Cricetulus griseus: one gene and its partner. The protein of the gene in region 1 interacts with the protein of each later gene in a pairwise test. Links are inferred from orthologs where the notes say so. Each region holds a gene or a part of one and is shown on either strand. Other genes may lie near its edges. The genes, in order: Gpsm3 and Gnai3.

Region 1 (4,172 bases):
GCCCCCGGCGGCGGAGAAAATGGAGCCGGAGAGAGAGAGAGAGAGGAGGCCCAAGCGGGGGTGTGTGTGCGAGAGGAGGGAGGAGGGAGCAGGGGGAGCGAGGGAGGCGGCTGGGGGAGGGGAGCGGGAGGAAGAGGAGGGGAGGAGGGGAGGAACGGGGAGGAGCCGGGGGCGGGGACACGCAGGCCGGGCGGCGGGCGGCCGGCGGCGGCGGCGGCGGCGGCGGGTGGAGGCGGGGAGCGGCCGGGCGGCCCGGGCGGGAGAGGCCAGGCTGGCCCCGGGGCGGGCGGCGGCGCGAGCGTGCGAGCGTGCGAGCCGAGCCAGGCGGGGCGGAGCCGGGCGGGGCGGGGCGGGGCCGGGGGCGGCGTGGGCCACCCGGGTTCCGAGCCCACCGTCGGGGTGGCGCGGACTCCGGCCGCTGGAATGCTCTCCGACGGCTCGGTTCATATTTCTTGTTCTAATGACTCCCCTCCCTGTTCGACTTAATTAAAACCGGGAGACTGGGGGCTGGGGGGATGATTAGGGAGGTCTCCAGCCGCTGCTTAATGAGCCAGTAATTAACCAGCCAGGGAGGGGACTTGGCCTCCGGCCAGCTCGCGGAGAGCGGCTGCCCCAGGCCTCACCGACCCACCTTGCACACCCAGCCACCCACCCCCAGATACCAGTCTTCAGTGCAGAGGGGAATTAAGTTTATTCACACAACCAACACATCGGGCAGACTCAGCAGCAGCAGCAGCAGGGTGTGTGGGTGGGGCTGAGGTTCGCTTCAGGGCCTCTGGGCTCCTCGGCCTTGGGGCTTGGGGTGCCAGTGCTGGGCGGTTGTCTTAATCTTTCCCCTTTTTCTTGCTAGGCAGGAGGGGCAGGCCTCAGTCCTCACACCCCGTTGAGTAGCTTGACAGCTCAGGATAGAGACTCTTGAACGGTCTTGGGGAGTCGTGTCCACCCTACCTTGCTCGTTTTCAAGGTTAGGGTACTTGCCCCCTGTCCAGTTCCCTGGGAAAATGGGTCTTCAGTCTCTGGCACCCCTGCCACGCAGGGTTGAAGGCTTGCGGGGGTGGCCCAGCTTTGAGTCCCTGAGAGAAGGGGCTGGTTGGGAGCTCAGGTCTCAGCAGGTGTGTGTAGGGGGCCGGGATCTTTGCTCCTCCATTCGCCCTCCACCCTGAACTCTCAGCAGCAACTCCAGGAGCTCCTGTCCCCCGGGGGGCAGGGGCGGCTCTGACCGCTGGGCTTCCATCCGCTGGCACTAGACATGCAGAGGGAGAGGAGAGCCTTGGTGGTCGGTGGTGGCTTTGGGTAAGAGGGCCAGGGTTGGTCTAGGGCAGTAGGTGTTGAGGGGAGCAGAGGCTGGCCAAGAGACATATGTTTTGGGGAGGAAGAAGTTAGGGCTGAAGCCTAACTTCAGGTGGTGGCGCACGCCTTTAATCCCAGCACTCGGGAGGCAGAGGCAGGAGGATCTCTGTGAGTTCGAGGCCAGCCTGGTCTCCAGAGCGAGAGACAGGACAGGCTCCAAAGCTACACAGAGAAACCCTGTCTCGAAAAAAAACCCCAATAATAATAATAATAATAATAATAATAATAATAATAATAATAAAAAGACTAAGTTAGGGCTGAAACAATGCAAGCGGCAGTGTGGGGGGGTATGTTTGCCTTACCTGGTGACTAAGAATGGTGCTGTAGAGCTGTTCTTGGTCCTCAAGAAGCCGGGGTGGGGTTGGGGTTTGGCTCCTGGGGACCTTGGGGGTGTGGAAGGTGGCCCTCTGTTCCTCTAGGCGGCGGGACTGGGCCTCAGCCACCAGGTCCAGAAGGAGCTCTGTCTGCAGGGAGAGCAGGGAGCCCGACCGGGGCCCCAGGGCTATGGGAGAGGAGGGGGGAGGCTAAGACCCAGAGGCGATGGCAGAAAGGAGACGCCACGGACAGGTGGGGGCAGGTGAGCTGGTAGACTGTGGTTAGGGTCCAGCAGGTGAGCAGGTGTGAGGTTAGCGGGCCTACGCTGGGGTGGCCTGGGTGATGGGTCAGGGTCTCCCAGGGTTGGTGTGGGGTACCTGTGTGGCGGGTTCCTGCAGGAGGAGGGGAGGGAGGCGCAGATCGCCAAGGCCGAGTGGTGGAGTTCACAGGGGGCCAGCCCTGATCATCTTGCGGGGGACCCTGATACCGAAACAGGTCCATTCCAGTCAGATGGCGGTGTGGGCAGAGGGCTAGGCTGGCGACCATGTCCCCTGTGTGCCTGTCCCTGCCTTCCTTGGTGTGCCCAAGCTTTCCAAGTGTCCTGTGTCCTCACATGCCCCTGCTCCCTGTGCTGGCCTCCCACCCGGCGCCCGGCTCACCTGCTGCTCATCATCCTCTTCTTCCTGGGGTCTTCCAGCCTCCATCCCTGGGCTGGGGAGAGACACTGGTGGGGGAGGGGAGGCTGGAATTTGGAAGGAGGACCGGAACCCTGGGCTCCTGAGGGGAACGGGGGGCTGGAAGGGGTGGGGGTGAGCTGGGGGCTGGATGCCTGGGTACTGAGCAGGAAGCTGGGTTCCTGGTCAGCCCCGCCCATCTCGGTCAACTTCCTCCATTCTCCTTTCCCACCCAAACAGCTTGTTTGACCTCTCTTGCCCCTGGGGAGGACAGAGACTGGGAAGAAGTCCAGCTTCGGAGTGGGGCAGGCTCCTGACAGGGCCAGACTCGGGCCTACTCATCTCCAGAGCCTCAGTAACCCCCTACCCCTGCCACACCGCTCCCTCCATCCCCACCTCCCCTCCAGCTCCTCTCTGTCAACACCGGAACTAGCTACAACACAGGAAGTGGTTTCACTCTTTGGGATCCCCTCCCCCAAACGAGGTTTCTTCCCTCCCCAAGACTGATCCTGAGTGGCCCTTCTCACCGTCTCTCTTCGACTTCCCGGGCCAGGGAAAGGCAGGGTTCTAGAGGGAAGCAGAAGGCGCGGACCGAGAGGCACTGGTGTCAGGCCCAATGCTTCTGTCCTAACTCTGGGCCGACACACGGGAAGTAGTTGGAGACTGGTTGCTGAGTGCTTTTCACTACCCTCAAGCGTTACAAGCAGAGGAGGGGACCAGAGTGAACCAAGTGTGAGAAAATGTCCCTGGAAGCTGAGCTAGTGTAGGCAAAGGCCACAGGAAGACTTGCCTGGGGTCATGAGAGTGGAAGACAGAACTTAGTTTGGCTTTTGGCCAGTTCTGGTTAGCCCCAGGAGGAGCAGGACAGACATCTGGACTCTTCAAATGGCTTCCCGCCGGCTGTGTGACGTTATGAAGTTAGAGCCAAGTGGCTTGGGGCATGAAAGGGGGTGAAGAGAGCCCGGCAATCTTAGGTGAATGAAACCTCTGTGCCTCCATTTGTGACCGGGTAAAGTGGCCCTTGTGGCACTTACCTCATAGGATTGGGGAGGGTTAATTGTAGTGAGCACTTGGCACCTGGCAGATACTCTATAAAGGGTGGCTGGTAATCTTCCAGAATGCTCCTGGGCCTTACGTCACAGGCTTATCAGGGTTGGGGTAAAGCCATGAGGATGAAATGCGTGTCCAAGACCTTAGCGGTCTCCTAAATGCCCAAGGATGGGGGGCACAGCATCTATCACCTTGTATGTTTGTTTTGACTGTTAAGAGATTCTCGCTTTCCAGATGACACCCCCCAAACTGGGACCCCCAGATTGTTTCCCCTTAATTTGTATCTAAAAGCCACCTGCCTTTATGGATGAACCTAGGGTACTAGATTTCCCAAACACTATGAGTTCCTCAGACAAATAAAGTAACACTTTAAATCAGCTTTATTTATTGTTCATGAGTTTGGGGTTCCTAGAGATAGCAGTAGCTAGAGAGGAAGGCCTCGTCCCTGCATCACTTTCCTGGGGGCAGGAGTGGCAGAGGGGGGGCGAGGAGTCATCAGCTGGAGGGGCCACTGGCCACGCTTCATCGTCAACACAAGGCCCAGCACATAGTAGGGGCTCAATAAATATTTGCCAGCTACTCGCGGGCAGTGGGCAGCAGAGACTTGGTTTGGGAAACCATACACAGGGAACATTTTTACACCCAGTTTGCCCACAGTTCTTGGTCCCAGTTGAGGGATTCTCAAAGTCCACCTTGTCCTCTTGTAGCTGCTCTACTTTCCAGGAAAAAAAAAAAAAAAGCCCGGCGTGTGTGCGTCCCTCGGGCATCCTGAGCCCTGTCCCC
Region 2 (3,813 bases), about 180 Mb from region 1:
TGTAAATACTAGATTTATATAGAGAAATCTTTGAGATCTGGGTTCAGTTTTGTTGTTTTGAGACAGGGATTCTTTGTGTAGCCCTGGCTGTCCTATCTCAATCTATAGACATTGAACTTAGAGATCTGCCTGCCTCTGCCTCACTGCATGCTGAGATTAAAGGCGTGTGCCACCACTGCCCTGCTGTGTTCAGTTTAACATTTTCATGAAGGAATGGATAAGATAAATTAAAATCATCAAAATTCTCATATCACCTTAAGACTTAGAAACTAATGCAATTCCTGTCTGAAACTCATGACATTCTGATGGCGTCACTCTGTTGCCATTTCCCCTCCTGCTCCCATCTTTCCCCTGTTGTAGAATGTTAATGGTGTTCCTTTAGGGTATCTAGAGACTAAACATTTTCCCTGAGGGCTTGGTTCCTGTTACTGGGCTTTAAGTGCCTTACATGCTTCATCACCTTCCTGCCTGCTGTCTGCAGTGAAGGGGAAGGAGCAAGCAGTTGATTGATTAAGCAAGCACTTCGCCTTAAACTTGATTAATGTCATATCCCTATGCCATGTTTATACTTCTTATATGTAAATCTTTTCATTTCTGTATAGGGTAGGCAAGTGCGCTGTCACTGAGCTACACCCCCAGCAGTCTAGGTAACATACACGCATGCATGTATGTTTGTGGGCATAGAGTGTGGAGGCTGCAGGTTGACTTCAGGTGTTTTCCTCTACCATTTTCCACCTTACGATTGGAGACAGTGTCTCTCCAAATGTGGAGCATGTTATTTTGGCCAGACTGGTAGGCCAGTGACCTCCAGGGATCCTTCTTTCTCTGCTCCCCCAGCACTGAGATCACAGGCTTATGCTGTGGCATCCAGCTTTTACATGGATCTGAACCCGGGTCCTCATGCTTGCACCACATGGACTTTATCACTGGGCTATGCTCCCGATCCTCATTAAGGGCTTACTTTAACAGAATGGAAAGCTGTTACATATATTTGTCTCTCAGACCAGTAAGTTTCCCCACCCCCCATTCCCTCATTAATCATAAGTCATCAGGATAGAGGAGTTCGAGTCTAATGGAAGAGTGGTCGTATGACATCTGACTCGCAAGTGCATGAGTGTGTGGAGTGAGCCTCATCTAGTCTTACAAGTGGGAACTCATCTGTCCCTCTCTCAACTCTTTTCCTCAGGATGATGCCCGACAGTTATTCGTCTTAGCTGGCAGTGCTGAAGAAGGAGTCATGACTTCAGAACTTGCAGGCGTGATTAAACGGCTCTGGCGAGATGGTGGGGTGCAGGCATGTTTCGGCAGGTCCAGGGAGTATCAGCTCAATGATTCTGCTTCCTAGTAAGTAATTTCTTTTTCCTTTGAAACTAATAGGAAGTGATTTGGTGATCCTAGAGCAAGTTCAGTACGTATCCTTAAGGAAATGTTCAAGTATTAGAAATGTCCAGCTGCCTTACTTTAAGGATAGCTCTGTGGTGCATTTATGGTAAGCAAGTGGAGTGAGACATCTAGCAGAGGTTAGTTCCCTGTGTAAGGACAAGGAGGGGAAAGTTAAAACTGGACATCTCGCCACACCACATCACAAACCACACACCACACCACACACACACACACACACACACACACACACACACACACACACAAACCACACCACACCACACCACACCACACCACACCACACCACACCACACCACACCACACCCTGGTTTGTTATTGTTGTATTTGAGACAGGATCCTCGTGGCTGGCCTTGAACACACAGAGATCGGCCTGCCTCTGCTTACCATGCAAGGATTAAAAGTGTGCAGCACCACATCTGGTGTGACAGCCCTTTTTATACTCTCTCTCTTGGCTGTGCTATGAATTTTTCTGGTAGTAGTCATTACTACTTAATTGTGTGTGGGTGTGGTATGTGACGGTGTACACTAGGGATTGAACCAAAGTCTCATGCGTGTTAAGCACATGCTCTACATCCTCAGCCCTTTTATTAGTTTTTATTTTGAGACACAACCTCACTCATATTGGCATTGAACTCATTCGATAGCGCAGGCAGGCCTGAACTTGGGATCCTTCTGCTTCAGCTTCTAAACAGCTGAGATTACAAGCCTGCACCACAAAACCCAGCACCGTTTACATCTTGTGCCAGACTGTGGTAGTAGACTTCTATAGAATGACGATGTGTCATAGAATGGAGTTGACTCATTTCCTTGTCAAGAAAATTCTCTTGAGTATTAGTTTTGCAGAACTGGTATTTTACTATTATATGTGATCCTGTTTTGTCCCCAACACATTTATTTATTTTTGTTTTGGGGTTTTTTTTTGTTTGTTTGTTTGTTTTGAAGTGGTTTCTCTGTGGCTTTGGAGCCTGTCCTGGAACTCACTCTGTAGATCACACTGGCCTTCAATTCACAGAGATCCACCTGACTCTGCCTCCCGAGTGCTGGGATTAAAGGCGTGCACCACCACTGCCCTGCTACACATTTAGTTTCAAGACATATGTTCATGGTGTATTTTTAAAATGTGCTTTTGGGGGGGGGGCACCTAGTGAGTACTTGTCATCTGTAGCCTTCTCTGAATCAGATAAAGTACTTTTGATTGTTAGGGTATTTTTCTACTAGTGTTATATTTCCCATCCTCATCTTGTCACATAGTGTTATAAGACATTAACGGTATGTATGAAGCTTACGTACTCTTTCAGTGGAAATGATTTAGCAAACAGTAAAAGGATTCTTGTCCACTTTTTAAAAATAAGATTGTTTTTATGTGCACAGTGATAGTGTAGGTAATTCAGTGGTCATCAAAGGTAGATTTTTAATTACCTCTTCTGTCATATATTGGGTAAGCTCTGACTCCCCAATTGCATGTTGTTTATAGAGTTTTCTCCCTCCATAGTTGTTCATCTGAGCTTGATTCTGGTAATTGGTTTGTAGAAGATCTGAATAACATGCTTAAAGTAGTGTCACCTGCTCTTCAGCTTTTTTTGTTGTTTGGAATCAATGAAGATTTAGCTTTTTGTCTCTTTCTCAACTCTCTTCCCATGTTTTGAAAGAGGATCTTGTTACATAGCCCAGGCTGGCCTGAAACTCCTATGAATATATATCTTCCCGATTAATTCCAAACTTGTGGCCACCTTCCTCTTCCCAGTGCTGGGTTTACAGGCGTGTACTAACATGTCCACCTGTGCTCTCACTGGGTCTAGTTCTTCTAATTTTCATAATTCAAATGTCATTTTTTAATGAGCTGTCAAATAGTTATGTATGTGGCTGACATAAATTTAGATATATGAGAGCTTTTGTTTTAATTTTTTTGTGTTTTGTTTTCATAAGGTCTTACTATGTAGCCCAGGCTTTACTGGAACTCTGGGGTTCAGGGTTACAGGTCTGTGCCACCTGTAGGTTTGGTTTTTTTTTGTTTTTGTTTTTGTTTTTTTCTGTATTAAGTACATAACTCATTTTATGTTAGATTTCAGGAAGTTTTCTTTAGCAGGAATAAAATTGCCTTGTTTTTAAAATTTGCCTTCACAGTATATTTAAAACCATTTTTGTTACTATGTATAGATGCTATTAATTTCCCTATGCTAGATTTACTTGCCCCCCCCCCCTTGTAATACTGAAGATTTAATATTTTTCTGCCTCTGAGGTGAATTTGAGGGTCTACTTTTTTTGTGGTTTGTTAGTACTTGGGATTGAATCTTGGGTCTTACACATGCTAGTAGCCAGCTAGTCTCAAGCAGAGAGTTTAGTCTGTTGACTTGTTGTGTTCATGGTTGGCTTTGCCAAGTAAAAACCAATGTATATTTCATCTAGTTACCT

Evidence for each region.
Region 2: the proteins of Gpsm3 (region 1) and Gnai3 interact in binary tests that used the Homo sapiens proteins (3 or more experiments, as listed by UniProt). The two-hybrid records come from large-scale screens. The link is inferred for Cricetulus griseus from reciprocal best matches to the Homo sapiens genes GPSM3 and GNAI3.

The regions. Positions count from the first base shown.
Region 1 is NW_023276806.1:231,200,682-231,204,853, reverse strand, and holds Gpsm3 (G-protein-signaling modulator 3), read right to left. Parts: upstream 2,740-4,172; 5' UTR 2,370-2,739; coding exon 2,325-2,369; intron 2,146-2,324; coding exon 2,043-2,145; intron 1,853-2,042; coding exon 1,653-1,852; intron 1,244-1,652; coding exon 1,106-1,243; 3' UTR 673-1,105; downstream 1-672. UniProt on the Homo sapiens protein: Interacts with subunit of G(i) alpha proteins and regulates the activation of G(i) alpha proteins.
Region 2 is NW_023276806.1:49,016,420-49,020,232, forward strand, and holds part of Gnai3 (guanine nucleotide-binding protein G(i) subunit alpha), read left to right. Parts: intron 1-1,186; coding exon 1,187-1,344; intron 1,345-3,807; coding exon 3,808-3,813. UniProt on the Homo sapiens protein: Heterotrimeric guanine nucleotide-binding proteins (G proteins) function as transducers downstream of G protein-coupled receptors (GPCRs) in numerous signaling cascades.